Caenorhabditis elegans: one gene and its partner. The protein of the gene in region 1 interacts with the protein of each later gene in a pairwise test. Each region holds a gene or a part of one and is shown on either strand. Other genes may lie near its edges.

Region 1 (7,455 bases):
AAATTTTTGCGGTCCGGTGGAAGCCAAATTTTTGGTCAAAAAAATTTTTTTTTGAAAAATTTTGAAAGTTGTGAAAAGTTTCACTCAAAAATTTTCAACTTTTTTCGAATTTTAGTGAAAGTTTATTTTTCCAAAATGCCACCAGAGTGTTTGTCCATCGCTAAAAAACCTTTAAACCTTTAAAAGGCTGCAAAAAATCATTTTTGGAGCAATTTTAGGGAGCCTCAAAACTTCAAAAAAAACTTTTTTCAAAGTTTTCTTATATACAAATACGGCAAAATTTTTTATATCGGTCTAAAATCTTTTCCGAATTTCCAAAAAAAATCAAAATGTAGCCTCATAGCAAAATTTAAGAAGTACCATCCTTGTTTAATGTTTCAAAAAACCACCATTCTCTGACTAATCCCGTAGAGTCTAGCTGGCCAATTTCTGATCAGGACGATTTCAAATAAATTAGCTCCCCCCTCCCCCCCGCGTCGTCCCAAAAACCAAAACCGCCAATGATCACTTTCGCGGGTCTCTCGCTCAAAGAATGTCTGCAGTGCTCTCTCACTTTCGCGCACTGTCTGGCCGTCTGGCGCCGTGCCAATACGCGGCGAGATAGTGTGGGTCTGTGCGAGAGAGGGGTTTTTTGGCACCCGGCCAGGTAAACAAACATTTCGTTTTTTTTTCGACGCTTTTTTCGTTTCTCAAGGTTCGGTTCGTCTTGCGATCAGCTGACTGTGTGAGGATGATGATTCTTATCTTTCGTTCTTTTCTATTTTGTTACTTCGTCTTTTTTCTTTAATTGTTCAGAAGTACATTTTCTGCCGAATTGATAGGGAACGGAATGGAGAGAAATTTTTTCTTTAATGGGGTTATTCAAGTAATGTAGCAAAATGTATTTAAACTACTACAAACTGACTACAGAGTGATCCAAGTACTCCAGACAGCCGGACAATTTCCTGCCGCCGTCCAGACAGACTTTGAAATCTGATCTTTGCCACAAGGTCGTATCGCGTGTATTGAGTAATGGTCTTGTTTTTAGGGTGAAGCGACAACTGTCGAGTAGTGTAGAAAATCAAAATGACGTCATCTTACTGTTTTTCCAATTGTTGATGTTGTTTGAAGCGAGGAAGTTTTTTGGTTTTTGAGCGGTGATTGGTCGGCGAAAACAAAAAATTTGGCGGGAAAATGACTAAAATGCTATGGAGGAAGAAGAGACGCGGGAGAAAAAGGGAGAAAGGTTTTTGAACCAGGATAACAACAACAACAACAATAGAAGTTTTTAGGAAAGGGATAGGTGAGCAGGAGTAGTACAGTTGAACTTTTGGCTAATGAGCATTATGCTTACCAAGGGATCAGTCTCAGCAAGTAATGAAGCTCTGAATTGAACTAAATTGGGTCTCAATGCGAAAACGAATCCGGATTCAAACGTACAACACTAATAATTAGGACTTCACAATTTTAGAAAAATAGTTCAAATAAAGAGTGATAACGAAATTTGTACAAGTTTCGAATTCCTGGGAAACAAACTCTAATGGTCGAAAAAATTTCTAGAAAAAAGTTAAGTTCTCAACGTTCTTAAATACATTAGAATTCTATGAAAATCAGATTTTCCCTGAATTCTACAGGTTTCAAAATTAGGGGGAAAATGTACTGATTGTGAAAAAAAAAAGATCCCAGGTTCCGAGAAATTTCAATTTTTTTTTGTAAGATGTTTTTTTTTCCAAAAAGCTTCCAGAATATTTGCCTAGTTTTCCTCATGCTTTAAAACATTGAAAATCTCTCAAAATTTGGTTTTGGAGAAATTCTACGGGACTTGAAACTAGCGAAAATGCACTGACAAAATGGGGAGAAAAAGTCCTAAAAATTTCCAAAAAGCTTTGAGAATGCGTTATAAATCTGGGAAAATCCGATTATGAAAAATTCGACGGATTTCGAAATAATCGAAAAAAAAACTCTGCTTTTTTCAGAAAAAGTTTCAAAAAGCTTGGCCTAAACATTGAAAAATTAATAATCTCAGAAAATTTGGTTTTGGATAAATTCTACGAGCATCGAAGTTTGGCAAAAAAGTTTCAAACGAAATACCGGGAACTTGGAGTTAGCTTCGTGGGTTTTTGTAATGAGCTAGTCAAATGGTACAGACTCGTATCATAAAGTCAAATTTTATTTGATGCGCTGTTGATAGCTAGGGTCCTATTCGACCTTTTAGTCCACATACAGCCCCCTCCCTACCCAACCAATCAACTTGAAAGTTCAACTCAAACATCTCATTGTCTTCTCAGTCCTATCCACCACCACTACCACACGTCAGAGACCATCGGAGAGTGTAAAAACAACCGGACGCCGAGAGAAGCTAGCCGAACACCACGTGACACTGTCCAAGAGGCAGACAGAGACCCGGGGGGGGGGGGGGCTACGTGCCAAACGCAAGATTTTTTCAGCGCCCGTTTTTCGTTTTTCAGCTGTTCCGTCTAGGGTGGAGTCATCTGGGAGTGGGAGAGACCGCAGAATGTGGAAGGAAAAATATGGAATGGGCGCCGTGGCGCAAAAGTGCTTGAAAACAAATACATGGCTCAGGGGGGGGGGTCATATTGTTAAAGCCAATCAAGAACAATTTTTTTGTAAAAATTCAAACTTCTATAATTTGACCCTACGACGTTAGGCTAACAACAGATGCCAAAAAAGGGAGATCTACAAGAAAAATGAAAAGATATCAGTTTCAGGGGAGCAAGTTGGAAGAAATTTTTACGTAAAGTTTGAAGATCTATAATGTCGAGCAATTTAATTGTGTGCCTACGCCTTTAAGCGAAGAAGAGCAGGGTTTAAGCTTATTTTGAGCCAAGAAACCCCAACTCTTGAAAAAGGTACTTTTACACAGATTAAAAAAAAAGAACCACAAAACAATTTAGTTACCGGGGAGCCCTTTCAGGCCCACTTTTTTTCATAAGAAAAAAATTCCAAAAATTCTGCTTTTTTTCTTACTATTAATTGAGCTGGGTAAAAAAAACTTGTAAACTACCTTTAAACTTTCCATAAAATCGTTAAAAATTATGTTAGAATGCAGTATTTTGTTTCGTTTTTTGTTTTATTTCTGTAGAGACTTTGAGCTCAAACAATGTAAGAAAACAAAAATTTTCTTTTAATAAAATTTGAAACTAACCGGTTGAATATTGCCGAACAACATCTGATGCGTCTGCTGCATCTTCCTTGGACTACTTAATGCCGCTCCACTGCTCCCTCCGCCAAAGTAGCTCTGTGTAGGCGCTGAGCCGAACGGTGTCGACGTCGAGCCCATCGATCGTTGTGCGATTGGAATCAGATTTCCCGTCTCTCGACGTTGTTCCATCTCAAAATACAAAATAAGAAAAGAGATAGAAATCATTATGGAAAGATAACTACTAAATTTCGGTCGTTGATGCACCATGAGCGCTCTGCTTTGTTTACTACTACTATATTGGCGGCGGCGGCGGGCGGGAAGTTGGCAGTGTGCCAAAAACATTGTGTCTATATCTCTCTAATTTGGGAGATAGGGAAATCAAAGCCGATCAGAAAACTGAGCAGCCCTGTTACTTGATAAATTAGCTGCCCCTGTCGCCACCGCCTCGCCGGCCCCAAAGTGATGACAATTGGCGTCGAGAGATGAGAAAACTGAGTTTGAAATTCGATTTGTGATTTGAAATTGAAATCGGATCAAGCTTAGAAAATGGGCGAAGAGAGCAAAGTACAATTTTAAGCGAGGTTTGTAAATTTTTAATGCGAGTTTTGGCTCGCAATGAAAATGGTAATGCGATTGGTAAATTGATAAAGTAGGTCAAAACTGATATCAGCTCAAAGAACGTTGATAGGACTGAAACTAGAAGCCTGTGTCAAGCCCAAACGGACCGCCGAAACCACAAACTACAAAACAATCAAGTCTCATTCGCTCTCTTGTTTCTTTTCTCTTTTTGTGTATTGTCACCACACATGACCGGTCAATCAATCGTCAGATGGGGGTCTTATCTTGAGCGAATTTCAAGACAAAGTTCTGGTGAGTTAGGCTACTCAAGTGTCCCGGAAGGAAGTTGGGTGCCCGGAGCAGGAAACTAAAAGCGGGGGGAAAGAGAGCTGATAAGAAACGGGGCTATTTGAAGGGTGTAAAGACCAAATGTCGTTGGCCTAAACCTGAACCTAGAAAATTATTAGCCCTTACACTTTTGCCGGCGCCAAATCGAAACTGCGACGCGTTAGCCTGATATGGCTCGTCATCGTAGAACTGTTGCTGGGCTTGTTGTGGTTGCTGCTGCTGTTGAGCACCCGGTGGCTGCTGGGCTCTCGGATTGTTCAATCCGAGGCCGCCGCCACCGCCTGGTGAATTTAGTTGGCGGATCATGAATGCTCTTATTCGCTGATTTTTTTTTTCAGTATCGGGATCTGAGAATTAAAAAAAAATCAATCGATAAAAAGGTATATTGGTTGGTAGAAAAAAAGGAAAAAAATTCGAAAGGGGGAGAGGGAAAAGAGCGAAAGACAAGAGAAGAAACCGAGTGGAAGGGTCGGGAGAGAGGCGCCCAAAGGGGTCGCGGGAGACCGAGGTGATACGAGAGGACGAGGCGAGAGAGCGGCAGACACAATGTGACATATCAAGAGGTCGTCGCCAGCAACAGCAGCCCCTCCCCAAAGGATCGAGCGAGAGGCGCGAGAGATGGGGCACACGGGCGCACACGCGCCCGCCCCTATCTCTTTCTCTCACAGCCTCCACCACCGATCATTTCGTTTATTACTGTGTCCCCCACCTCCTGCCAAGTTCTTGTCGAGACAATGGCGATTAGGCTACTTAAGGGCAGTTGGGGGTGGCTAGCTGTCTGCGTAGCTGGAATCCTAGAATACTAAACTCCTAAACAAAATCATTGGCCCCATCCTAATTACAAGATAGTAACGGTCCATATAGTTAAGACATCAGAGATTAGGTCGAGAAAAATAAGAAGAACACAACAAACTGTATTCGGAGGAGGTGGCCAGAGATCTTTTTTTTTGAACAGTTTGATGGGCTTGATTTGATTAGAAGAAGATTAAAAGATGAGGGAGATCAAAATTCGGTTTTGAAAAATCTGAGAAATTCAAAAGATAAAGCTAGCTTAACAATTTAAGGCCTTTGTTCGGACAAGGATTTTTTTCTAGGTTCGGGCAATGGAGCAGTATGCAATCTAAGGTGATCTAAATAAAATCAAAAAGTGTTATTAGATGTCCTGAACAAAATATTCCAAAAATTCCTACCTTGAGGGCGAACAATTAGGAAGCTAAGCCTAAGAACCTAAGCCTTCTGGAGCTGCACCTAGGGACTTCTGACATTTGAAGCTTACTTAGGTCGTTCGAAACAGGGTTTTCAGGAAAATTAGAATTTTTTAAGCTTCCGAGGTTCAGAAACAAAAAAATGGCGAAAACGGATGGATCAAAAAAGACAACTTGAAGAAAATGTTATCGTTCTATGATCCGAGTAGAATTTTTACCCAGCGGCTTTGCTGGAAGTTTTAGGGGGTCTGGAAGTGGCACTCTATCAATTTCAAAAAGTGAGACCTCACAAAGTCTCTAAGTCAACAAAAACCTGGAAAAGTCGATTTTTTTTCAACCCAAACACAGGTTATCATCACAAAAACATGACAAAGAAATGATCCAAAGCAACAATGACGCCATCAAAAGTTTGTTTTAAATTCCAACCAACGCAAAGAAAATACGAAAATAAAACAAAACTATTCGACAAAACCCTCTCTTTTTAGGCGACGAAGGAGAATTCGGCCTCCCGCCGCCAACTGATAAGCGCGGCGCCTATTCTCTTTCATAATTAGTGTGTGATGATTATGATAGTGATATGTGTATGTACAATGAAGTTTTGGGAATTTGCAAGACGCAGAGAATTGTTACTCGGCAAACAGTAGGGGGGGGGGGGCTAACTGAGAAATAAAGGAGGAGTTGGGGCGCCGGATTGGTGGTATTGTGATATTTCCAGAGGTCGGGGCAAATATTGATGATTAAATTGAAAAAGGGTTTAAATTGACAACACTTTTTGCTCAATTTCTCGTAAGTTTGAATTTCAGATTTAGAGTCCGAAACTTAAGACCCTAGGCTTAGATCTATAGGCTTGGCTCCCTGGTCCCAAGGCTTGTAAGCTAAGGCCATGAAGTTTGCCTCTAGGCTTAGTTCTTAACATTTAGGTACCTCCCTAGTGGTGTTCCCAGAACGTCCCTAGTGGTGTTCCCGGTAAAGGGGTTTATTAGCTCCAAAAGTTAAAGTCCCAATGCTTAGGTTCAAAGGCTTACTATTAGCTTTAAAATTTTAGGCCCCCAGGGTCATATGTTTAGGTCCCGATCAGAAAGTTTAGACACCTAAGCTTAGACTCATAGGCTTACAAATTCATGTTCCAAAATCTAGCTCCCTGGGCCCCGTTTCCTAGGCCGTGGCCCTAATAGTAAGGTTTATAGGTTAAGCCCCAAAATTCTCTATATGTGTGGCCAAAAGTCCCTCACAGCAAAAAAAGGGTAAAACTCTATCCTTATCCCCTCCAAACGAAACAATAGAGGGCTTTTTCATTAATCTCATATTGTTTCGTATTTGCGACGTCACTCATCTAACCCGATTTCTCATCAAGACACATTTTTCGTTGTGCTCCGTGAGCCAAGCAGAGATTAATCTTTTCGTTTGGAAAGAGGACTGCACTGATAAACAAGTATTCAGATTTTATGCTGGATTAGAAAGATCATGGAACAAATTTCTTGAATTTTTCATCAAATTAAGTTCAAAAATTGATTATATTCAGCTCGGCCAACGCAAAAGAATTTCAGATAAAATTTTGGAAACAAAAAACTAGAGAAACATTGTGAAATCCCACGGAAAAGAAGGATAAGCTCTTCAAAAAGAGAGGAACTAAAATCATCATCGTCGTATTATTATTATTATATTTCACTAACCAAAGGAGACACCACAATTAGTGCGCTGAAGAAAAAGAAAGAAAACAAAAACACCTGGAGACTACAGACTACATTTCTATTGAGTTACAGGATGTAGGAATACGAAAAAAGGAAATTGTGAGGCACGGGGAGTCGAACCTGGAAGGTGTATGCGGAAGGCAAAAGTGATAACCAATATGGAAGTTTTTGGCAATGTTGGTTGGCAAGTAATGAGATTATTAAATATTAAAGGAACTTACACAGTAGAAAAATTAACTTCAGTGACTTATTTTATTTTATTAGCCCCTAAAGCGATTAAGAGGCAAATTCAAAAAATTTTCGCGCCCAAAACAGTTAGTCAACTGATAGATAAAATCTAAAAGTACACGAATTTTAGGGCGGCAGTCAAAGGCAGGAAATCGAAATAAAAACCGAAAACCGAAGAAAACTATAAGAAAAATGAAGAGGAAACGGTGAATGGCGGGGGACGAAAGAAGAAGAAGAATAAGAAGAAGACGTACAGAAAAGATAACACATTCGGCGATTCAAG
Region 2 (7,507 bases), on another chromosome or scaffold:
AATTTTTTTTGGGACTTTTGACAAAATTTATTGAATTAAATTTTTCGCTTTTTTATTTAGTGCAAAAATTCGCAAAAACCACGTTTTTTTACCCGAAAACTCAAATTTCCCGCCGACCGCGTGCTGCAAGTGTGCTCTAATGAGAAAACTGCTTATTTATTGATCTGGTTGGCGGAAAATTTGAATTTGTCAGTGAAACAGCTTTAAAATCCTTCAGAAAATTCGAAAAATTGCAAAATTATCCGTGGAGCGCAGTTGCACCATGCGGTCGGCTGCAAATTCAAATTTTTGGAAAAAATTTTAATTTTCAAAATTTCAAAATTTCCCAAATAAGTTTTCCAGAAAACTAAGGGGACATGTGCCATGAACTCAAATTTTATTTGTAGTTTGTAATCTAGCAGACTACAAACTACAAACTACAAACTACATACCATTATCAGGTGTTTCTATAACTGGATACCCAATTGCAATGGAGTCCTCGTCGATTAGCTCCCTCAAAATTGGAATTTTCCCGCCGCCGATGACGTCATAATTATACAACACATTGCATGTCTTGAACACAATATCCTCGAGATCCGGTGCTGACCAACACTTTTCTGGAAATTTTTTTTTAACTTCAAACTTTTTTATTTCAAAAAATTCAAAATTTCTGGATTTTCCGCTGATTTTCGAGCATTTTCACTATAAAATTCGTTTTCAGCGCCATTTTTTACTCTTACCCCAACTTTTTTACGCAATTGTAGAAAACTGTGCATTTTCTCGTGAGGGGCTCGGTGTTTGCGTACTTTTCGAGCTACAGTAACCCAAAATGGTCAAAATTGAGCAGAGAACACGGGGGAAAATGGTGCTAGAGTGAAAAAATTCGAGGAATCTGAATTTTCACTTAATAATTTGATTTTGTGCAAAACAATTGGATAAAATTTTTTTTGAAAAACAACTTTTAAAATTTTCTTCAAATTTTTATATTTTCTGCCGATTTTAAAACATTTTCACTATTAAATTCGTTTCCAGCACCATTTTTCACCCCTACCCCAACTTTTTTACGCAATTCCAGAAAACTGTGCATTTTCGCGTGAGGGGCTCGGTGTTTGCGTACTTGCGTACTATTGGGGCTACAGTACCCCAAAATGATCAAAATTTAGCAGGAAACACCAGGAAAAATGGGTCTAGGGTGAAAAAATGCGAGGAATCTGAATTTTAACGTCAAAATTTGATTTCGTTTGAAATTTTTGGGAAAAAATTCGATTTTTTTTCTTTTTTTTTTTTGATATTTCAAAACATTTTTTCACAACCAATTTTTGTAGTTTATAGTAAAGCCTAGACTACAAACTACAGTAAACAAACTAACGATTCATTGGAGAAACACCGCGAAATGTTTCATCGAAGAAGTTGGGCGGCGAGGACCAACATCCGGACGGGCGGTTTAGAATACGATCCTCATCATCTTCAGAATCCTTATCATGGAGGTTCAGTGATAGATCAGAGTCACATAGGCTCGGGGAGTACCTGGAAATTTGAGTTTAGAGTATGCTGGACTTTGGCAGACCAATACTGAACCAAATTTTCCAAATTTTCACAAAATCTAGATATTTTCAACATTTTTCATATCAAAATTCACGCTCAGCGTCATTTTTTACCCCTAAACCCGCCTTTTCAGCCGATTTTAAGATTTTCTGCAATTTGTCGTAAGATGCTGGGTGTTTGCGCACTTTTCAAGCTACAGTAACCTCAAATTTTCAAATTTTACGCTAGGACTCCAAAAAAAAGTATTCTAGAAGTGAAAAATGGTGAGGAATTCGAATTTTTATGTTTCAAAGGGGGAAAATTTGGATTAACAGGGAAAATGTTCCTTTTTTGCGATATAAAAATGATTTTTCAACAATTTTCATGCCAAAACTCAATATCAGCATGATTTTCTACCCATATCTCTACTTTTTCAGCAAAATCGGAGTTTTTCTGTGCATTTTTGCGTCACGCTCACGGTGTTTGCGGACTTTTGGGGCTACCGTACCCCAAAAGTCTCAAAATTAACGATAGAGACCCAGAAAAAACGGGTAACATGTGAAAAACGATGGAGAATTCGAATTTTCACCTCATAATATTGGATTTCCGCCGCTTTGACTTCAAATTTTCATTTTCTTCCTCAGGGTCCGGCCATTTTTCATCAAGTGTCGGAAGTAGGTCGGCTACTGAGTATTCTGCTTCTTCCGCTATGCTTTTACTCGTTGATTCCATCATTTTTGATAAGGAAATCTGAAAAATGGTGTTCTGGTCTGCTAGACTACAAACTACAAACTATAAACTATAAATTGTAAAATATATACAAAAAATTTAAATTTGGCAGATCAAATCATTTTGAAACTGGCAAATATTGGTCTGACGGACTACAAACTATAAACTACAAACTACAAACTACAAACTACAAGTTATAAACTACAAACTATAAACTACAAACTACAAACTAGAAACTACAAACTACAAACTACAAACTACAAACTACAAACTACAACTATAAATCTCTGACTTCAAAATAGCAGATCTAGCCAAACAAAACTATTAACCTACATATGACAGACTCAATCAATTTTAAACTTGCAAATTTTGGCCTGATGGACTATACACTACAGACTACAAACTACAAACTACAAACTACGAATTATAAACTACAAACCATAAACTACAAACTATAAATTACCAACTTCGAAATAACAGATCTAACCACACAAAACTATGAACCTGCAAATGGCAGACTCAATCAATTTTAAACTAAAAAACATTGGTCTGACGGACTACAAACTATAAACTACAAACTACAAAAACTACAAAGACTACAAACTACATCTTCACCACCACCTCCTCATCCAGCTCACCTCAAAGCTTGTTTTGCTCGGCTTAATTCTGTTATTTTTCATCGCTGCCGCCGCTGCAACGTCATCAGAGTTACGGGGAACTGCGTAAGCGGATTTCGATTTAATAATACTCCGAAGACACGGATGAACCAGAAATTCGGCGTCAGAATCCTCTTCTGAATCGTCATCACCTCCAGAGGAATTGTCGTTGTGCAGCCAGTCGGCTGAGTAGGACTGGAAAAAAATTCAGGAAATTTGGAGGTTTTAGAGGCTTCTTTTTGGTTTTTCGATATGAAAATCGAGTTCCCGACATTTTTTACCCTGGAAACTTTTTTTTTTCGAGCTTCTAGCTCATTTTTGAAATTTTTTGGGTTACTGTAGCTCCAGAAGTACGCAAACACTGCACCTTACGACAAAATGCAGAATGCTTTGAAATTGACTTAAAATGGTGTTTGAGGGGTAAAAAATTGTGTTGAAAATGAAATTCGGTGTGAAAAATTCCAAAAATGAGTTGCGTTTTTTTGCCGAGAAAATTTTTTACTGGAAAATTTGTAGAAATTTGAAATTTTTCACAATTTTTATTAAGAAATTCGGATTCTCCGTAATTTTTCACCCTTAATAAGTTTTTCTCTAAACTTCTGGCTCAATTTTAAGTTTTTTGGAATTACTGTAGCCTCAAAAGTACGCAAACACAAATCGATGCACCATACCTTACGACAAAATGCACAGAAAATTAAAATTGGCTGAAAAAGCTGGGAATGGGGTAGAAAGTGGCGCTGAATTTGAATTTTGATATGAAAATTTTTAAAAGTTGCTGGTTTTCGAGAAAAATTTCGAGTTTTGAAAAAAAAAAAATTTTTAATTTTTTTGTTGCTTTTTGCAAAAAAACCGGTTTAGGAGCAAAAAAACGCTGCTGAATTTGATTTTTATAGTTAAAACCTTTAAAAATCAACGGTTTTCCTGAAAAAACCTACCCTCCGAATAACCGTCGGACACTCGTCATCATCCTCGTCCTCCGTGTTCTCCTCAATCGGAAAATCATCGCATTTTCGACATTCAAATGCGCTCATTTTGTGCTGAAATTTTTAAGACTTAAAATTTCAAGTAGTGGAAAAGAAGTTTTGGAGCAAAAAAAAAAAAAGAAAAAAGGAAAAATAAAAGTGAATCTCTGTTCCAGACATGCGCGCTGGAAAAAATGATGAATGGAGTGGATGAGAGAGTGAAGAGAGTGCAGAGAAAATTGCGTTGAAAAACAACTCAAAAAAGGGGATCATGGAAAAAATATTCAGAAAATTTTCAAAACTTTTGTTCTTGAAAAATTCCAAAAAAAAATTTTTTTTCACCGAAATTCCAAAAATAATTTTTTTTTCCAAAATTTAACTTCTCAACAATTTTTTCGTCAAATTTTACAGCCGAAGCCTTTTTTACCGAGTTTCTAGATCAATTTTCGAGTATTGCGGGGGTACTGTAGGTTCAAAAGTACGCGAACACCGGACCTTGCGACAAAATGCACAGAAACTCAAAATTGCCGGAAAAGACGTGGTAGGGGTAAAATCAAGACCTGAATTTGAATTTTTAGATGAAAAATTGAGAAAGTGAAAAATGAAAAATAAAGAAAATAAGTTTGGAAAAAAAATTTTCTAAAATTTTTTTTTCCCGAAATTCCAAAAAAACTTTTTTAAATCAAAATTGAAGTTCCCTACGAATTTTTTGTCAAATTTTCCAGCCAAAGTCTTGTTTCCGAGTCTCTAGCTCAATTTTTAAGTCTTGCGGGGTACGGTAACACAGAATCTCAAAAATGTCGGAAACAGGTGTGGTATGGATAAAATAAGGTGCTGAGTTTGAATTTTAACATGAAAATCAGGAAAAATCTTGATAAAATAAAGATTTTCGAGAAAAAAACATTTTGCCAAAAACTCAACTTTTCGGGGGTACGGTAACCCCAAAAGTACGCAAACACCGGACCTTACGACAGAATGCACAGAAACCGAAAGTTGTCGGAAAAGGATGGATTAGGGGTAAAATTAGGTGCTGAGTTCGAATTTTAGCATGAAAAATTGATGAAAATTGAATAAATAAAGATTTTCGGGAAAAATTGCTAAAAAAAATTTTTTTTTGCGATGTTTTTTTCTGGCTTATAATTTTCACCAATGTTATTGGCTATATCATATCACGAGTTTTGACATGTTATCTCAATTTCCTCCCCCCCCTTTCTTCACTCCATTTCCCTCATCGAGAGAGCACACACATTTTCCAATAAATTCCGCGCATTTCCTGCTCTCTGAGGGTAGCGTCTTCTTCACACTAATCTCCCGACGAGATAGTATGTGAAAGTGAGAGACGCAGAGAAAATGAGAGCAAAAAAAAGATGTAGTAATGAGTGGGAATAGATTAAGGGGTACCCCCTGAAAGAGGGGGGGGGGGGGGGGTGGGGAGGTGCAGGTTTTTTTCGAAAAACCAAAAAAATTTCTCAAAATCCAACGATTTTCATAATTTTTCACATTGAAATTCGATCTCAGCACCTCATTTCACCCCTAGAACACTTTTTTCAGAGGATTTTGAGATTCTGTGCATTTTCGCGTAAGGTGTGCGGTGTTTGCGGACTTTTGGGGCTACAGTACCCCCCAAAAGACAAATTTGAGCAGGAAACATAAGAAAAATGTTAGAAATTTAATATATAGCCCTATAATTTATTTCCAGGCGAATATATCTTCCGAAAAAGAAATTTTGAAAGAAAAAACTAAAAAAATTGAATTTTCAATGTTTTCAGGTATTTTTTGATAATTTTAACTGTCAAATTCAAGTTCAGCGCCTCATTTCACCCCTGGGACTGTTTTTTCCGATGATTTTGAGATTCTGTGCATTTTCGCGTGAGAGACTCGGTGTTTGCGTACTTTTGGCGCTACAGTAACCCAAAAACGTCAAAATTGTGCAGAAAACGCGGGAAAAATTGTTCAAATTCTCGAAAAACGGGAAATTTGGAAAAACAATTGCAATTTTTTTCGGAAATTTTCAAATTTGAGCAAGAAGCTTAGGTCTGCTAGTTCTAAATCTGTAGTTTGTAGTCTGGCAGACCAAAAAAAAAATGTTGGAATAGATTAAGGAGCACATGAAGACGCCGAATTTTTTCATTTTCTTCTTCTTCTCGATCTTCTTTTTTATAGATAGAATGCATGCCAAAATGAATTCAGGAATTACAGAATTTCTAATGAATACGTGGATATGGGGCATAAAACGATGACGTGGCAAAATGTAGTTTGTAGTTTACAGCGGAATTTTAGAAAAAACGTATACTTTTTAAAATTGATAACTAGAAACTAAAAAATGACTTGAATTCTATGAATTTTAGCAATTTTTCATTATGAAATTCAAACTCAGGGCCTTTTTTTACCCCCTGGTCCATCTTTTTCAGACAATTTTAAGTTTCTGTGCATTTTGTCGTAAGATGCTCGGTGTTTGCGTACTTGTGGCGCTACAGTACCCCGGAAATTTGAAAATTGAGTCAGAACTTTTTAATTATCGCTAAAAAACGAGACAAAGTGTAGTTTTAAGTAAAAAAAAAATCGAAAAATCGAAAAAAAATGGGTCTGCTAAACAAATTTTCGTAGTTTGTAGCCTAGCAGACCCAAAACACAAAACCCTCCTCATAAATTTATTTAAACATTAATATTAATAGTCTACATAAATTTCCTATTCTCTAGAATTGAAAATTAGTATGTATTTAAGGAGACACAGAAAAAAATGACGTGGCAGCACTACGACACTCCGATATCCCGGTAGATCAAATTAGGTCAGACAAGAGAAGAAGCTTCGGGTGGGGGGCACTGAATTGCACGGAATTCAATTAGGAAAAGGAAGGGGAAATTGGAGAAAAAATACAACTTTTCGCGGGGTCTTCAAGATTTTGGTCTGCTAAATACAAAATGTAGTTTGTAGTCTAGCAGACCAATTTGGGGGGCCCATTTCGAAGCTCTAATTTTCGCAAAATGTTGACAAAAACTGAATATTTGAAAAATTATCTGTTACACAGCAGCACAATTCATTCAAAACATGATAAAACTTTCAAAAATCGGCCAAAACTCACGTCAGCTTGGGTCTAATTCTTTTGTGTAGTTTGTAGTCTAGCAGACCAATTTAAGGGAAAAACCATTTTTGAGCATTTTTTTTAAAAATAAAATGAATTGTACTTCTCTTCTGCTGTAAACAGTGTCTTGAGAGCTAAAAACTGAAAAAAAAATCCCTAAATTCAGTCAATTTTTAATTTAAGATTGGTCTGTTAAATAATTGTAGTTTGTAGTCCAGCAGACCCATACGAAACTCTAATAATTTGGGTCTGCTAAATACGACTTGTAGTTTGTAGCCTAGCAGACCAAAACTCTTCAAAAGCTCATGGGTCTGCTAAACACAGACTCTAGTTTGTAGTCTAGCAGACCAAATTCTCATTGGTCTGCCATTTCAGAATTGTAGTTTATAGTCTAAAAAGCTTCTCAGGGGACCTAATTCAATTTCAAATTCGGACGCCGCTGCTGTCATAAAATCGTTACTAAACTTGCGAAATAGCAATTTCCAAAGAGAGAAGAGTCGCAGGAAGATTTAATTAAAAATTAAATTATTTCGAACGCAAGCTCGCTCTATTGAGAATCTGAAGAATTAAAAAT

What was found. Proteins that work in one complex are often made in the same cells at the same time.
Region 2: the proteins of hlh-30 (region 1) and jip-1 interact in a two-hybrid assay, tested with the Caenorhabditis elegans proteins (one large-scale study listed by BioGRID).

Annotation. Positions count from the first base shown.
Region 1 is NC_003282.8:4,023,733-4,031,187, forward strand, and holds the start of hlh-30 (Helix-loop-helix protein 30), read right to left. Parts: upstream 4,396-7,455; 5' UTR 4,355-4,395; coding exon 4,175-4,354; intron 4,080-4,174; exon of another isoform or gene 3,996-4,079; intron 3,332-3,995; coding exon 3,146-3,331; intron 1-3,145.
Region 2 is NC_003280.10:1,323,413-1,330,919, reverse strand, and holds the start of jip-1 (PID domain-containing protein), read right to left. Parts: upstream 3,926-7,507; 5' UTR 3,920-3,925; coding exon 3,824-3,919; intron 3,084-3,823; coding exon 2,871-3,083; intron 2,254-2,870; coding exon 2,093-2,253; intron 1,507-2,092; coding exon 1,349-1,506; intron 597-1,348; coding exon 432-596; intron 1-431.